Cricetulus griseus: one gene and its partners. The protein of the gene in region 4 purifies or fractionates together with the protein of the main gene of each other region. This does not show direct contact. Links are inferred from orthologs where the notes say so. Each region holds a gene or a part of one and is shown on either strand. Other genes may lie near its edges. The genes, in order: Rnps1, Nktr, Pnn and Snip1.

The links.
Region 1: the proteins of Snip1 (region 4) and Rnps1 purify together in Homo sapiens (affinity purification with mass spectrometry; 4 studies listed by BioGRID and IntAct, counting the BioPlex papers as one, with this or other methods). This does not show direct contact. The link is inferred for Cricetulus griseus from reciprocal best matches to the Homo sapiens genes SNIP1 and RNPS1.
Region 2: the proteins of Snip1 (region 4) and Nktr purify together in Homo sapiens (affinity purification with mass spectrometry; 3 studies listed by BioGRID and IntAct, counting the BioPlex papers as one, with this or other methods). This does not show direct contact. The link is inferred for Cricetulus griseus from reciprocal best matches to the Homo sapiens genes SNIP1 and NKTR.
Region 3: the proteins of Snip1 (region 4) and Pnn purify together in Homo sapiens (affinity purification with mass spectrometry; 4 studies listed by BioGRID and IntAct, counting the BioPlex papers as one, with this or other methods). This does not show direct contact. The link is inferred for Cricetulus griseus from reciprocal best matches to the Homo sapiens genes SNIP1 and PNN.

Annotation. Positions count from the first base shown.
Region 1 is NC_048600.1:43,961,704-43,965,619, reverse strand, and holds part of Rnps1 (RNA-binding protein with serine-rich domain 1), read right to left. Parts: intron 3,421-3,916; coding exon 3,318-3,420; intron 3,012-3,317; coding exon 2,858-3,011; intron 686-2,857; coding exon 544-685; intron 77-543; coding exon 1-76. UniProt on the Homo sapiens protein: Part of pre- and post-splicing multiprotein mRNP complexes. Auxiliary component of the splicing-dependent multiprotein exon junction complex (EJC) deposited at splice junction on mRNAs.
Region 2 is NC_048597.1:228,741,583-228,745,498, reverse strand, and holds part of Nktr (NK-tumor recognition protein), read right to left. Parts: coding exon 3,845-3,916; intron 814-3,844; coding exon 726-813; intron 427-725; exon of another isoform or gene 70-426; coding exon 1-69. UniProt on the Homo sapiens protein: PPIase that catalyzes the cis-trans isomerization of proline imidic peptide bonds in oligopeptides and may therefore assist protein folding. Component of a putative tumor-recognition complex involved in the function of NK cells.
Region 3 is NC_048598.1:143,477,099-143,481,627, reverse strand, and holds the start of Pnn (pinin), read left to right. Parts: upstream 1-1,541; 5' UTR 1,542-1,615; coding exon 1,616-1,728; intron 1,729-2,394; coding exon 2,395-2,466; intron 2,467-3,170; coding exon 3,171-3,239; intron 3,240-3,617; coding exon 3,618-3,690; intron 3,691-3,773; coding exon 3,774-3,868; intron 3,869-4,001; coding exon 4,002-4,077; intron 4,078-4,529. UniProt on the Homo sapiens protein: Transcriptional activator binding to the E-box 1 core sequence of the E-cadherin promoter gene; the core-binding sequence is 5'CAGGTG-3'. Capable of reversing CTBP1-mediated transcription repression.
Region 4 is NC_048595.1:27,983,115-27,987,030, forward strand, and holds part of Snip1 (smad nuclear-interacting protein 1), read right to left. Parts: intron 2,351-3,916; coding exon 1,767-2,350; intron 938-1,766; coding exon 673-937; 3' UTR 1-672. UniProt on the Homo sapiens protein: Required for pre-mRNA splicing as component of the spliceosome. As a component of the minor spliceosome, involved in the splicing of U12-type introns in pre-mRNAs. Down-regulates NF-kappa-B signaling by competing with RELA for CREBBP/EP300 binding.

The DNA of each region.
Region 1 (3,916 bases), on a different chromosome or scaffold from region 4:
TCGGCTTCTGTGGCGGCGGCGGCCAGGAGATCGAGACCTCCTACGCACAGGAGACCTGCGCCTTGGGGATCGAGACCTGCAAGAAGAGAAATCAGGTCAGCCAAAAGTAAAATTTCCTAACAGCACAGCTATAGAGGGAAACTGGCCTTGTCTAAGACAATCATAATCTTGTTTACAACCATACGAACTGTCTGACCCTAAAGCTTTTCTCTTAACCCCTCTTAGAGTCTATAGTTTTTGTTTTTCAAACAGTGTCTTTTCTCTGTATAACCCTGGCTGTCCTTGACCTCAGAGATCCACCTGCCTCTGCCTCCTGTATTCTGGCATTAGAGGCCTGTACCACCCTGCCAAGAAGGCCACCCAGGAATGAACCTGGTTTCCAGGGGGCCTGTGCTAACTCAGATTTTATAGATATGGGTTCCTTGGACTGGCCTCATCTGCCTGTCAATAACAACGAAGGACCCCAAAATCATCACAGCCATTCAGGTGTATAATTCACATAAAGAAGCCAAATGGGTCAAGGACAATTCCAAATTAACTCACCTCCTCCTCATCCGTGGGGGTGACCTGCGCCACATGGGAGGCGGTGGAAGCATTCTCCTGGGTGGGCTGAATCGCCGTGGGGGTGGTCTAGGCCAGGGTGCCAACACGGCAGTAGCAGTGATCTCTTGGCCATCTATTTGTCCTGTAGAAAAAAGGGACAAAAGCATAAAAGCTCTAATATTAAATACTTAACATACTCACACCTGTGATGGTGTGTGACACATGCCGCAAATCTCAGCACTCAGGAGGTAGAGTACCCTTAATTAGCTTTGTCAAAGTGAAACAGGTAGGTATGATGGCCACACCTTTAATTCCAGCATTTGAGAAGCAGAGATAGAACAGGTGGATCTCTTGAGAATTTGTAGCCAGCCTGGTCTACATTGTAAGTTCCAGGTAAGACCAAAGAGAGGTACATAGGGAGACCCTGTCTCAAATACAAGACAAAATCCCGCCTATTCCAGACAAGCACAAAGTCAGGTGTTCAGCATACCAAGGTAAATAATCATTAGATAACCCCAGATAGCTGGGCAGTGGTGGTGCACGCCTTTAATCCCAGCACTTGAGAAGCAGAGGCAGGTGAGGTGAATCTGTGTGAGTCTGAGGTCAGCTTGGTCTACAGAGGGAGTTCCAGGACAGCCAGGGTTGTTAAAATTAAACAAACAAAAAACAGCAACAGGACATAAGATCCAACTGAATAGGAACAACTTCCCAGAAGATACACAAGCCACGCAAAGTTCTGAAGAATGTGTTGAATCTTGCTAGGTAGAAGACACAGAAGGACCAACAGTGGGACAAGTGACAAGATAGCACAGGACTTATGGGCATGATTGAGGCTCTTGGCAGGGACAGGAAGAGGACAAAGTCAGGAACATACAGGGTCTCAGAGAGAAAAAAAGCAAAGAGCATTGAGACGCGGACGTGGGAACACCTAACAGTTGCAGACTGTCTCCACATCTAGGGTCCCTAGGGCCCAAACCTAGCTCATCTGTGTCAACAATGGGCATAACTCTTCTTACCTTGCAGTACCTAGGGGCTCATTCAAACACATCCATTTAATGCCAGTGGTTAAACATAACTAAACCCAGCCTAATCCCACAGCCAAACCATTGCAAGAATGTCATTGCACTAACTGAATAGATAAGATACATCTATCATTTAGCCAGTCGTCTTTAAGGCCACTCTTCATGTCTCTAATTCCCTGGGTTTTTAAAAACTGATTAGCAATGCTCACTCTGGCAATACCAGATGATAAGCAGACTTTGAAAGTGAAAGTGATTCACAAGATCTGAGCTGACAAGAATGATACAGGTAGCTTATGCTGAACTCTTGAAACACTTGAGGCAGCCTAAAGTGAATTAAAAGTGGCTTACATATCAAAGAAAATCCACAATCAAAGGCAGTCATTGAAAACCAACAAAACCCTAACTGAAACTTTTAAGATATTAGTAAAGCTAACAGGCATCAAGCTGCCAGTTCTCAGTCTCAGTGGCCTACATCCTAGAGCTGGACACAAACTGCATTCTCTAAAACGCTGATTTGAAGACCACCAAAACCCATTCGGAAGTTAACACTTAATCCCATCACCAGGGAGGCAGAGGCAGGAGGATCTCTGTGAGTTCAAGGCCAGCCAGCTCTACACAGCTAGTTCCAGGACAGCTAGAGTGGTTTACAAAGAAAAATCCTGTCTCAAATCCCCCCCACCCCAAACCGTAAACCAAATTAAACAAACACAAAAAACCCATTCTACCATTATAGTTATGTTAAAAAACATGTACCATGTACCCATGCAGCAAAATAATCCCAAAATGCTGAAATGTTGGCAAAATTGAAAAGCATTCTCAAAATGATAAAAGAAAATATTCATTTGATCCACAGGTTTTTTTCTTTTTTTCTTTATTATGTATACATTCTTGTGTCTGCATGCCAGCAGAGGGCACCAGATCTCATTTGGGTGGTTGTGAGCCACCATGTGGTTGCTGGGAATTGAACTCAGGACCTCTGGAGGAAGAGCCAGTGCTCTTAACCGCTGAGCCATTTCTCCAGCCCCCTGATCCACAGGTTTTTAACAGGTTGAAAAATTCTTAAAATGCTAATATATTCATATTTGCTGACTTTTTCTTTTCAGGATAGTGAGTGCTTCAGAAAACATGTTCTTGGTAAATACACCCCACTGAGCAAGAACCAGAATCTACAAAGGGCTCTGCTGAGACTCAGAAGCACCTGGGTTGGAAATCTACTCCAAGGGTCCCACAAGCAATCAGGTTGTCTATGAGGACAGATGTGACAGGGCTGAGGTGGCCACAGGATCACTAACCTCCATCCATGTGTTTCAGTGCCTTCTCTGCCTCATCTGGATTCTCAAACTCCACATATGCGTAGCCTTTGGACAGATGAGGATGCATCCTTTCTACAGGCATGTCAATCATTTTAATTTTTCCATAAGTAGAAAATATTTCCATGATATGATCCTAGAGAAAGAAGATCACATCCTTGCTTACCCATCTATTACTTAACTGTCAAAGGGGAATTCACTAAAAACTGAGTAAATCCCCAGTAGTGTTAAAACATCCTGCCATTTGACAAGATGTGTCACTGGGGCCAAAGTGTCCTGGGCATAAGTCTAATGGATTAAGTCCATCAAAAAGGATTAAGCAGCGTTCCAATCAAGCCATGGGCTACTTCTTTGAAAGAAGGATTACATCCTAGATGTACTAGTTGCCAGACACCAGCTTGTTCAGCCACACAACCCAATCCTCATGATCTGAGATTCTTACCTTGGTCACATTCCTGGTAAGCCTCCCAATGTGCACCTTGGTGGGTTTAGGTGAAGGGCTTCGCCTCTTCCTTTCCTTTTCATCTCTTTTAGGTGGTTTGGATCTGAAAATAAAATTTTCAATATCCATTAACTATAATGGGTCTGGAGGTAGAATTCAGGACAAGGTCCCAGATTTGGCTGGCTCCCAGCTCTGAAAACGGGCAAATATCAGCGGGGTGTGGTGGTATATGCCTAAAATCCCAGCACCCAGGAGGGTACATGGGGATGAGGACTAATCTTGTGACACTATAAGCCAGTTCCAATTAAATGTTTTCCCTTAGCTGGATGGTGGTGGTGCACGCCTTTACTCCCAGCACTTGGGAGGTAGAGGCAGGCAGATCTCTGTGAATTTGAGGCCAGCCCGCTCTACAGAGCCATTTTAGGACAGCTAAAACCACATACAGAGAGACCCTGCCCTGAAAAACCAAATAAATAGGAAAAAAAGAAAAAGCTTTCCTTTATAAGAATTGCCTTGGTCATGTCTTTTCACAACAGTAGAACATTAACTAATACATTATTCCCGATTTAGAAACCCTTCAAATTAAAACATACACCCAC
Region 2 (3,916 bases), on a different chromosome or scaffold from region 4:
AGGAGTTTCACTGCTGTCATCATCTTCCGACTCAGAATGGGATCTTGACCTTGGAGGTGTGTGATAGCGCTTCAACACAGAGAGGGCAGTGACTGTCTAAGAGAGCCTCTTGTAGGACAGAGTCAGGCAAAAGTTTAATCTGGGCACCAACTTAAGTATTAACTGGATACTATGGAGTTACTTCAAATATAAGACACTGAGAGGCGAGAAAGACAAGACATTTACCTGGAATCCTTTAATGGCTCCCGTTGCAGTCCTAACACATTCTGGCCTCCAGTACTCCATAGACTAAGATTTCTCAATATACCTTTTCATGTATTACATCACTGAATAATTAAATCTACCCACAGCTGTAAATGTATGCGATGGGAGTGAGTACCTTCCCAAACTATGGGAAATAAAAAACAATTCCTTAAATAAGTAAAATAGTCTTTTTCTTTTCTTTTTCTTTAGACAGGGTTTCTCTGTGCAGCCCTGGCTGTCCTGGAGCTCACTCTGTAGACCAGGATGGCTTCAATCTCAGAGATCCACCTGCCTCCATCTCCCAAGTACTGGAATTAAAAGTATGTGCCACCCCCTGTCTCAAGAGAGAAAAAAAAAAAAAGTGTGCCACCACGGCCTGACACGAGAAATAATCTATCTAAAACTAAACCTCAGATCTTTAAATTTTAAAAAGTTACTATTTAGGTAAGCAATTTGAAAGAAAAAAGTTCTAACATACGTACAATTGTGCCTCTTCCTCTAATTTTCCTTCCAGACTTTGATACAGATGGTTTCTGATCACTTACAACAGGTGCAACATCTGGGATGTTCCTGAAAAAGTGGTGATGACAATTAAAGATGGGCAGACGCCAGAATGTCTTCCCATAAAGTTTTATGAGAGCAGTCACATCCATCCAGCTATTTCTGAGCTCCCTCACGCAGCTAGGAGGTGCAGCACACATCACCAGGTACAGTCAGCATTTCAAGTGCTACATACATGACCCTGCAAACATGAGGTGAGTGAACTCTCACTGCAGACTGTCAGATCAACAGCTCTAATAACTGATCTAACAGAGAACACTGACTTGAGCTCTTGATGAGAGTTACCCTGCCCTAGAAGAATTCCATTAGTAAATATGCACTTGAAAAACAAGCATTTCATCTTCTAATAAATGCTTTTTTTTTTTAAGTAAAAGATTTTTGAAGGAAGCCAGCCATGCCAGCACATGCCTGTAATCTCAGCATGTGGGGAGTTCGATGGCAGCCTAGGCCACCCAGCAGGACCCTGCGTCACAAGTAAACAAGCACACAGGAGGCTGTGCAGGGCAGCGGTGCAGCTGTGCTTCGCTGCTCGGCTTTCTCAGCAGCTGCTCACAGGGACACACCACTTGCACCAGGCACTGCAGCATTGTTGTTCAGGCATCACAGTTTTCCCTCCTTCTCCCTCCCCACCTCCCTCTTTTGAGATTACACCTTGTGATGTTGTTCAGGATGGACACCACTCCCGAGGTCAAATGATACTCCCCAGCTGTCCCTGCCCTCTAGGGGCTACAACACTAGGAAATCAGGCCCCGCACCTAGGCTGGGCAGCACAATAGAGCTAACCCTGATGGCAGAGGTGTGGGTGAGCCAACGTGGAGACTGTAAGTGGGGCGAGGTGCCCCCACCACTTACTGCCTGCAACACACGAGCAGCATGCCTCTCCCCCTTGCCAGCTGCAGCACCAGGAAAGCAGGCCCTGCTCCTCCCCTGGGCAGCACAGCAGAGCTGGCCCTGTGGTGTCGGTGGGAGAGAGTCAACCCTAAGGGCGTGAAAGCAGAACTGGCCCCGCCCCTAGCTCATTGCTGCAAGAGGTCAATCAGCTGGGGCAACGCTGCAAAGCTCACCCTGGTGGTGAGGAGAGGGGAGAACTGACTGGCTGGCTAACCAACCCTACAGCTGCCCAGGCCCAGAACCAAGGTTCTGATTTGGCCTGCCCCATCTATCATCTGCTGGAGCACATGAAGGGGCCTGACCTGCAGACCCAAAGCTGCAGGATCTCCACAACCCAGGCAACAGCAGGATAACCAAGAGGAGTCTCAGTGAGGGCCAAACATCAATGGTGAAGCAGAAGCCAGAGGCCTAGAAGTGGACCAATGACCCTTTGCAATAAACACTTATAAGATACATGAACAAAGGGGTTTATTACATGACACACTGTGCCACAACGCAGCTTCCATGATGAGATTATTAATGTTTTCCTTTTCTTTCTTACATTGTGTTTTATTTGGGGGAGGGGAGGCTTGCAGAGGCAGAGGGCAGATGCAAAGGGACAGACAGGGAAATGAATGGTATCCAGATGGGTGATATGAAAGACACATTGAATAAATAAAAACAAAATCTTTTCACACATTAAAAAAAACCTTCCCCATGGCTAGGCTACATGCATATATCACCATGCTCATATCCTTTTAATAATTCTGAATTGAAATCTATTACACAAAGTATATTAAATACTATTTGCTGAGACTAACTCTAAAGCCACAATTCAGGGAAATTAACTACAGTAATATTTATGATAGCAAACTATCTTCGGTCATTATGTAATTAACTTTGCACTATTAAAAGTGAAACAGATGGGGCTGGAGACATGGCTCAGAGGTTTAAGAGCACCGACTACTCTTCCAGAGGTCCTGAGTTCAATTCCCAGCAACCACATGGTGGCTCACAACCATCCGTTATGAGATCTGGTGCCCTCTTCTGGTGTGCAGATATACATGGAAGCAGAATGTTGTATACATAATAAATAAATAAAATCTTTAAAAAAAAAAAAAAACCAATAAAGTGAAACAGAGCCACGTGGTGGCGCACACCTTTAATCCCAGCACTCGGGAGGCAGAGGCAGGCGGATCTCTGTGAGTTTGAGGTCAGCCTGTCTACAAAGCTACACAGAGAAACCCTGTCTCGAAAAATCAGAAAACAAAACAAAACAAAGTGAAACAGATGTCCCCACTCATTTGGATGCCCTAGGTGCAATCCACCTGATAGCCCAGTGTGAACAACTGCATTACAGTGCAGCAAGAGCAGCGATGCAATGCTCCCATAGCTCTCACAAACGCTTCCCTCCCCACCAGCGTGGCAGCAAAGACACACCTGCAACCCAATACTCTGGGGGGTAAAGCAGAAGCATCCCAAGTTCAAGGCTCGCCTGTGACACACAGCGAGATCCATAAGCAGACAAAACCACCTAACCACCACAGCAAAGCATACCTTCAGTGAATAACCTGCCCACTTCCTTTACCTGTTCATGTATCAAATGTGGATTCAATAAAGGAGGCACAAGCCACTCAGAGCTCTGCTGATCACCCAAACTATCTTTCTGTGTACTCTGAGCCCGAGTCATGGTGAGTCTAAAGTTGCAATGAAATAATGGACTTACCCATCAGAGAAACAAAAATATACAGGGCAATAGCTAATCATTGCTGTTAACTTGCCTGGATATCCAGTCACCTAAGAGACTGGGCACACTAACTATCCCATGTGCTAGGGCCAGGGAGATTACAAGAGGCAGGAGAAAGCCAGCCGAGTGACAGCACTCCTCCCTGGCATACCCTCTGCATGTTCCCTGAGGGGAAAAAACAAAACAAAACAAACAAACAAACAAACAAACAAACAAACAAAAAAACCTAGCTGTCCTATGGACTTGCAGGTGTAAAAAACAAAATAAATTTCCAAAGTCGTCCAGCCAATCAGTAAGTAAATGACTCATGTATGTATGTATGTATGTATGTATGTATGTATGTATGTATGTATGTTATAGCCAATCAATATGTTGTCGTACTCCTGCCTTGGAGAAGAGGACTGTGCTCATCAGCCTACTTACGGTTCAGGCTCCACTGTGACAGCAGGCATATCTCTGCGAAGTAAGAACCGGTTCTCAGGGACTGGAGGGATC
Region 3 (4,529 bases), on a different chromosome or scaffold from region 4:
CTGACTCCATGAAGTTGTCCTCTGACCTCGTGTGTATACATACATATATGAACACATTGAAAATAAATTAAGCAAAATAAAATTTTGTTTCGTTTTGTTTTTTGAGACAGGGTTTCTCTGTATTGCTTTGGAGGTTGTCCTGGAACTTGATCTGTAAACCAGGATGGCCTCCAACTCACAGAGATCCACCTGCCTCTGCCTCCTGAGTGCTGGAACTAAAGGCGTGTGCCACCAATGCCCAGCTAAATATAATAAAAAAATTTTATATAATTTATAGAATGAATTTACTAGTCACATCTTTTCATTGGCTGCATTTTACCAACAAAATATTTTGTTTGATACCTGGCCTTTAGCATATAAGACACTATGGGTTCTTATAGTGTCATTACCTCTTAGATGGCATATTATATATCAAACTATATATATATGCATACACATATACATATATATACATACACACACACACACACACACACACACACATATATATATATATATATATATATATTGCCTTTTTTCGAGACAGGGTTTCTCTGTTGCTTTGGAGCCTATCCTGGAACTAGTTCTGTAAGCCAGGAGGCCTAAAACTCACAGAGATCCGCCTGCCTCTGCCTCCCCAGTGCAGAGATTAAAGGTATGTGTCACCACCACCTGGAAAAAATTCTCATTCTTTTTCATGAAGCAATCCTCTAAGGATTTGATCTCTGTGCAACGTTTTCTGAAATACAAGCTGTCCATCTATTCTGGAACACAACCAGTTCCAATGTTGGCTGTGCAGGAAGGTCAGAGGGAAATCTGGGAAACACACACAACAAAATACTGGCCACTTCCCCAGGCCCACTATTAAATTAGCGGGCTCTAGGCCTGGTGAAGATTAAGGCAGTCAGTCTTGCTCCGGTCAGATCACAAACGACCTCTCAATATAGATCTGACTTGACCTGCTTGACCTAGGGAAACCGAAGCCTCCATTCACTTATTATTAATAACCATTTTACCCAAGTTTCTAATATTTAACGACTAAGGCATGCGAAACGAAACGCAGTTTCCACAATTATTATCTGTTAGGAGGAAGACCCGTGGTGGTTCTTCGCTTTAGGTTCAGTTCACTTTAATGGAAGGCAGCCTGCACCTCCCTGCCCTCTGGGCATGCGCAACAGCCTATAAATTGCCATGCCCTTTCCTAACTAAATCTCTTGTGAAGGGAAAGAAGGGAAGATACAGTCGCTTCCGTCGCTTCCGTCCCCTGGGTGTGAGTGGATGTTTAAAATCGCTATAAAGTGAACGGCACCGCAGATTTAAGAGGGCTGCCTTCGCAGACGCGCAAGCTCGCGTCTACCACACGGACATAATCCCTCCCCGCTCTGCGCAAGAAGCAGAGCGCAACCACCCGCAGGCGGCGAGGGGGAGGAGCTGACCGCCGTGCCGGCTTCTCATTGGCCCGGAGTCACGGAGCTGCGGGCTTCTTCCCCTTCCGATCCCTGGGTGGTTGAGACCGAAAACTAAAGCCTGCGGTGATTGGCTGGGGCGGGCTGTCAGTCCTTCCGCGTCTGGCGGCGGGCGCGGCGCGGCACTGCGCGGCCTGTAGAGCAGTCGCGAAGCCTGCTGCAGAGAGAAGATGGCGGTCGCGGTGAGAACTTTGCAGGAGCAGCTGGAGAAGGCCAAAGAGAGCCTCAAGAACGTAGACGAGAACATCCGCAAGCTCACCGGGCGGGACCCAAATGATGTGAGGTAAGGGTGGGATGGAACATGCGAGGTGGGCGAGACACTCCTCGGGTCGGGGCGAACAGGGGCGAGAGGGCAGCCGGCCGGTTGTGGGCCGTCTGGGGTCAAGAAGCCTCTCTCCCGGGCAGCGGCCGAGCACGCTTCTCGGTTAGGGGGCGAGACGCCATCCCTGCGTCCCCGGGCGAGGGGAGCCAGGGCTTGCGGAGGCCGAGCGAACCTGACTGCGCGGCATGGCTTCCGCACCCGTGGGAAGGCCGAGACCACGGCTTCCCGCCCTTGGCGCCGCAGGCCCGGAACTGCAGTACAAAGCCCCTTCCCACCCCGCCGTCCCCCGGCCCGCGCCAAAGCGGAGATGCCCGGCCCATGCGGGTGGCCGCCTCTCTCCCTACCCTGGACTGTGTGTCCCTCCCTCCCTTGGGGCTGGCAGATAGGAGCTAATCCAGCCTTATTAATTAATGTGTAGCGGTTTCGAGGTAAATATATTTCCCGAAATACTGCGTTTGGGGAAACCAGGAAGAGGATAGTAATGTCCTGTCTCATAGAAGTGGCTCTGAAACCGTCGTTTTAGAACTGTGTTCAGTTTTCCTTAGGGTGTACCACACCTGTGGAAGTATATGATGCCCTTGCGGATGACTACATAGGATTTTTGAACTGATTATAAATCTTTTGTAGGCCCATCCAAGCCAGATTGCTGGCCCTTTCTGGTCCTGGTGGAGGTAGAGGACGTGGTAGTTTATTGCTAAGGTAAGATCTTTCATATATGCTAACTAATGCTAAAATTTATCAACTTAAAAGAGTTATCAGGAGCTGGGGTGGTGGTCCATACCTTTAGTCCTAGCACGCAGGAGGCAAAGGCAGTGTGGTCTAAAAACGAGTTCCAGGACTGTTACACAGAAAAATCCTGGGGGGTGCAGGTCGGGGGGAGGGGGATTAGGTTGAATCAAATATATAGATAGATGTAGTGACCTGCCAGGTTTCTAATAAATGTATTGCAAAAGTAGAGGTTGAGCCGGGCATTGGTGGCGCACACGTTTAATCCCAGTACTCGGAAGGAGGCAGAGGCAGGCGGATTTCTGAGTTAGAGGCCAGCCTGGTCTACAAGAGCTAGTTCCAGGACAGGCTCCAAAACAATACAGAGAAACCCTGTCTTGAAAAACAAAAACAACAGAGTAGGGGTGGAAGAATATTAATTAGAACTGTTTCATATAAGCTTAATTGTGTTTTTGAGTACTGTAAATGTTTTTTGGCATCCGAGAATATAATTGGTGGTGGTAAAGTGTTTTGCAAGCCCCAGCAAGGGAAGAAGGCAACTCTTTTCCTGTGGATGCTAAGTTTACTTCATTTGGAAATGTTTTTATTTTTATAAAATCAGTTAAAATCATTCACCAACTGGAAATATCAATTTATCCTATGTTTCTCAGTCTTTCTGTTGGATGTTTTAATTGCAGGCGTGGATTCTCAGATAGTGGAGGAGGACCCCCAGCCAAACAGAGAGACCTGGAAGGGGCAGTCAGTAGGTATGTTTTCAGATTTCTGAAGCATCGGTATATGCATCATCTACTTCTGTATTTGTATTGGGATTTAGTGGCCTGTGGCTTCTCTCTGGAGTCCCTTTGGGTGTTTGAACTGTGCTAGCCAGTGTCTTACAAAAGTCTGTGGGATTGGAAGAAGCAATACTTTCTGTTTTGTACTTTGAAAACCATTGTGAGAAACGTGGGTACAGTGAAAGAGCCAAGTTTTGTGTGAACATTTTGCTTCTATTTTTTCACTGACAGGTAAATGAGATATAAGCTGATAGCATGTGGCTTCTGGAGAGGAGTCCTAGAAAACTCCCTTCCCTTGATGTGCACTTGATTCTGCAGTTCTCATTTAGATTATTTTTTTTCCTGTGATAGGCTGGGTGGGGAGCGTCGGACAAGAAGAGAATCACGCCAGGAAAGCGACCCAGAAGATGATGATGTCAAAAAGGTATTGAAATTAAATATTAGTGCATTTTGAAAAGCATGTTACCCATGTGCAGGAAATCACCAATATTTCCTTTTCTCTTGTAGCCAGCACTGCAGTCTTCTGTTGTAGCTACCTCCAAAGAGCGTACACGTAGAGACCTCATCCAGGATCAAAATATGGATGAAAAGGGAAAGCAAAGGTATCTGCAGAACTTGTCTGATAATAGCATACTAAGAAAAATTACACTCTTTTAAATGCCTTTAGCATCTCTTAGAAAATGGCGGGTTTAGTGTGGGTCATGCAGACATTGATTTTCTTTTGCTTTTTCTTAGGAACCGACGAATATTTGGCTTGTTGATGGGCACCCTTCAAAAATTCAAACAAGAATCTACCGTTGCAACTGAAAGGGTATTGCTGCAATTTTTGTTTTTCCTCATTTACTCATTACCAAATAGGGCACTAACGTTTTTAAAAAGAGCTTGAACTTTTTGTTTGTTTGTTTGTTTGTTTGTTTGTTTTTCGAGCAGGGTTTCTCTGTGGCTTTGAAGGCTGTCCTGGAACTAGCTCTTGTAGACCAGACTGGTCACGAACTCACAAGAGATCCAACTGCCTCTGCCTCCCGAGTGCTGGGATTTAAAGGCGTTCGCCACCAATGCCCGGCTGAACATTCTCTTTACTTTTGTGATAAGGACTTTTGCTAAGCTAAGGCTAAGCTGGTATTCACTATGTAGCTAAGAATGGCCTTGAAGTCTTGATGTTCCTACTTCTACCTTAGAGGCCCTGGGATTTATCTGTTTACTTATGTGTTTACTCATTTATTTGTTTGGTAGGTTACCTGCCCACCTTTGAATTTTTGAGAT
Region 4 (3,916 bases):
GGAATCCTCAGAGGATGCAGCTCCACACCCAGGACATGGCACGTCACCAGCGCCCGTGGGTAGGAGCCATGACCTCCCGACACAGTTACATCTGCACAGGCATCGCAGAGTGTCTGTCTGTCTAGCTTAGACAGTCAATAATGAGGTTATGTGGTAAATTGTCACCCCCAAAAAAACGAAGTGCAAAATGAACTTCTATGACTCAAGAGCTGACCCAGGCCAAAGCTTTGGTATAAGCTGGAGGCTGTTTTGGTGACAACCAAAGCTTACTGAGATTCTCTGCTCTAGGGTTTGTCACCAAAACAAAACTCCTGGTCCACAAAGCTCAACGACTATATAAATAAGAAACTGTACAAAGAGAACAAGCCACAATCCCCTTTCCAAGGGCTTAAGTTTCCTGTGCAGCAGTTCTGAAGGCACCCACTACAGCCACACACTTTGACCAAAACTCAACATGCTGTAATTGGTGAGATTGTTCTGAAAACAAGCGCCCACAGGCAGGCGGCTGCTGTGCCAAGTTCAACAAAACACGAAGTGAGAGTTCTCATACTGCAACACAAGCTGGGCAGCAACAGAGAAAAGACTTAAGGCAAGAAGAGGCGCTGGAGTCAACCCCATGGCCTCCAGGAGGAACGGATTCTCATGGGGGAGGGGGTGGGTGCTTCTCAGTTGCTAGCTGTCAGACACCATTTCCTCCTCCTCGTCATCTTCGTCTTCCTTTCTATCTAGTTCAGATGTGTCTGAAGACTCATGGAGCAAGACATATTCTCTGCTACTGAACCCAAATTTAAGGACGTCTTTTTCCTTCAGTTCATAGTACCTCTGTGGTTCAATACGCTTGTTGTTTAGGAAGGTCCCGTTGCCTGAGCCCAGATCAATGATGTAGGGTTTCACCCTCCGACCAACTGTGCCGTCAGCACGAGTGTACTCCACAAGCCTAGAAGAGACCAGTGAGAGAAGCATGTGAGCAAGTCCTACCAGGGACCATCTACTCTGCAGCTCTCTGCTACAGATCTAGATGTCACTGACCTGACTCGAACATGGTTCAAACAAAACCTCTGGAAGGTCACAGGGGAAGCACTGCCCTGGACAGGGAAATTGGGAGCAGTTTAAATATATCTAAGAGAAAAAGTAGAGCTGGCTGTGGGTGGTGGGTGGGGATGGAGGGCCATGAGATATCCCAATGTAGAACTCAAGGCTTCTTGCTATGGCTACAAATATACTTCCTCCAATGCTGTACAGCTATTTTAGCACCAGCCCAAATGGGGAAAAACATTAGAATGAGATGAGACTTTCGTGTCAAGGGCGGGATATGAGACAGAGCTCTGCTCTGAAGATCATTACTGCTACCAGCAACTGTGCTGAGCTGCAGTTTTCCCAGATGTCAAATGAGGATGTTAACACTGGTCCTGTTTTCCCACGGGACTGTGGAGGATCAGATAGTAACGGTAATATGATCTAAGCAGCAGATTCAGCCAGCATATACCTGGCATTCTGACTCTGGCTTATACTTGCTTGGCCTTCTGACACCTGAGATTATAGGCCTGCACCACCGCAATGATAGCGGCTAATCTGGGTTTCTGATATCAAGTTCAAGATTCTCACACAAATGTTAAGAGATTACTCAAGGACTGCTAGACTCTTTCAGCCCAGCTTATTAGATACAAGGTGTAATGGCCTCTTCTGCATCTCCACAAACAGCATAGGGGTCCTCAATGAGACACTCACCCCAGCTCCCTTTCCAGTCCTCCTCCTGGTCTACCTACCGATACTGGAAGACTGCGTGCTGCTTTGAGCAGGAGGGATGGTCGATGGGAATGTCGGCGATGCGGCGATGTCGGCCCAGAAGGTAAGCACTCTGCCGATGGATGTACATGACGGGAAGTACCTCATCATTTTTAAAGGGGTACAGACGCCACCGTTTTTTTGGGATCCGGGCTTCTGGGGGCTCACTGTACTTAATAACCACACCCCGGAAGGTATTGGTGTCCTCAAGAAGTGCCCCAGAAAGTTCAAAGCTTGGTTTTTCTTTAACAGGCACCTCTCTGCTTCTGTTACCAGCAGGGCGAGGGATCACCTCCTGAGCTTCACCGCCAGCACCTTCATTCTGCTGACGATGCTCCCGGCGCCTGGCATTATGAAAGTCCCTTTCTTCTTCCTGGGCCTGCAGAATTTGGCTGTCTCGGTCCCGACCCTGACCACTGACAGGCCTCTCATCAGAGCTCCTCTTTTGGCGGGAATGGCCCCGGTGCCGGTCTCGCTCACTGTTACGAGCTCTCCTCTGCTCCTGTTCTGATGGCTCTCGGTGCTGCCGATCTTCTCGTCCTCTCCGAGGATGGTCCTCACGTTCCTGAAATTAAGATGCATTCAGTAAAGGAAAGACGGCTTCTACTCTGTGAATAAGCTGTCAGGGCTGGGGAGATGGCTCAGCAGTTAAGAGCACTGACTGCTGTTCCAGGACCCAGGTTCAGTTCCTAGCACCCACATAACTGTTCACAATCTGTGACTATCATTCCAAGGGGATCCAATGCTCTCTTGTGGTAAGCATGGGCACTGCATCTATATGGTGTAGATATCCATGCAGGCAAAACACCCACACACATAAAATAATTAAATCCCCCAAAATGAACAACACATCTATAACCTGAGTGCTGATGATATTCAGAGCAAATTCCTATCTACACAAGACTATCTGTTCTATTCCCCTGGAGTGTCATCTGTGGTAGTTCTGTTCCCCTGGAGGGCCATTATGACTATACTCCATGCTGCTCCTCAAATACAGGCCTGATAGCCCAAGCCCACATCCAGAGCCCTCAAAACAAGAGGCTGATACAGAGGGAAGGAGAAATAATATTCCCATCAGTCACCTGCTAGCAAACTCACAGGGCAGCATGTGTAGAAAACAGAACAGAGTAGCCAGGTGGTGGTGGTGGTTCACTCCATTAATCCCAGCACCTGGGAGGCAAAGGCAGGTGGATCTCTGAGTTTGAGGCCAGCCTAGTCTACAGAGTGAGTTCCAAGACAGCCAGCCAAGGCTACACAAAACCTGTCCTCCCTCCAGAGAGAAAAAGAGAGGAAGGGAGGGAGGGGGAGAGAAGGAGGGGGAGGGGGGACAGAACCATTACATTTATGTAAAGGAAAAAGTCAACTTCCTCATAAGCCAAAAAGAAACTGAAATAATTTCAAAAGCTCCAGCTTCAACAATTACATACTAAAAATCAGCCTGGCATGGGGCTGGAGAGATGGCTCAAAGGTTAAGAGCACTGACTGCTCTACCAGAGGTCCTGAATTCGATTCCCAGCAACCACATAGTGGCTCACAACCATCTGTAAAAAGATCTGGTGCCCTCTTCTGGCCTGCAGGCATACATCCAGACAGGACACTGTATGCATAATAAATGAATAAATCTTTAAAAAAAAAAAATCAGCCTGGCAGAAACTACAATACACATAACACACCAGTAGATCAATGAGAGACTGATGGTGGTGGCACATGCTTTTGACCCCAGTATTCAGGGGGTAGGGACAGGCAGGCCTCTGTGAGTTTGAGGCCAGTCTGATCTACAGAGTTCCAGCATGCTATTACACAGGAAGGCTATCACACAAAGAAATGCTGTCTCAAAAAAACAAGGACAAAAACAGACCAATGAGAAATCAATCAGTAATCAGCCAGTCCACAGGCAAAGCCTCAACAGCAGTCTCCAGAAGAAGCTAACAGTTAGTGACCACCTGTCTCGCTAGGAACCAGAGGACCAATGTTAAAATAGAAATTTTCTCAGATTTGCTAAATTAAAAAGGTCAGGAATAGCTACTATCAAAGGAGAAGGGACTGGGGCTGCACTCAGGAGGAAGAGGCAGAGTTTCAGGTCAGCCAAGTGATATAGTGAGAATGAGAACCTAAATCCATGGGGGGCGGG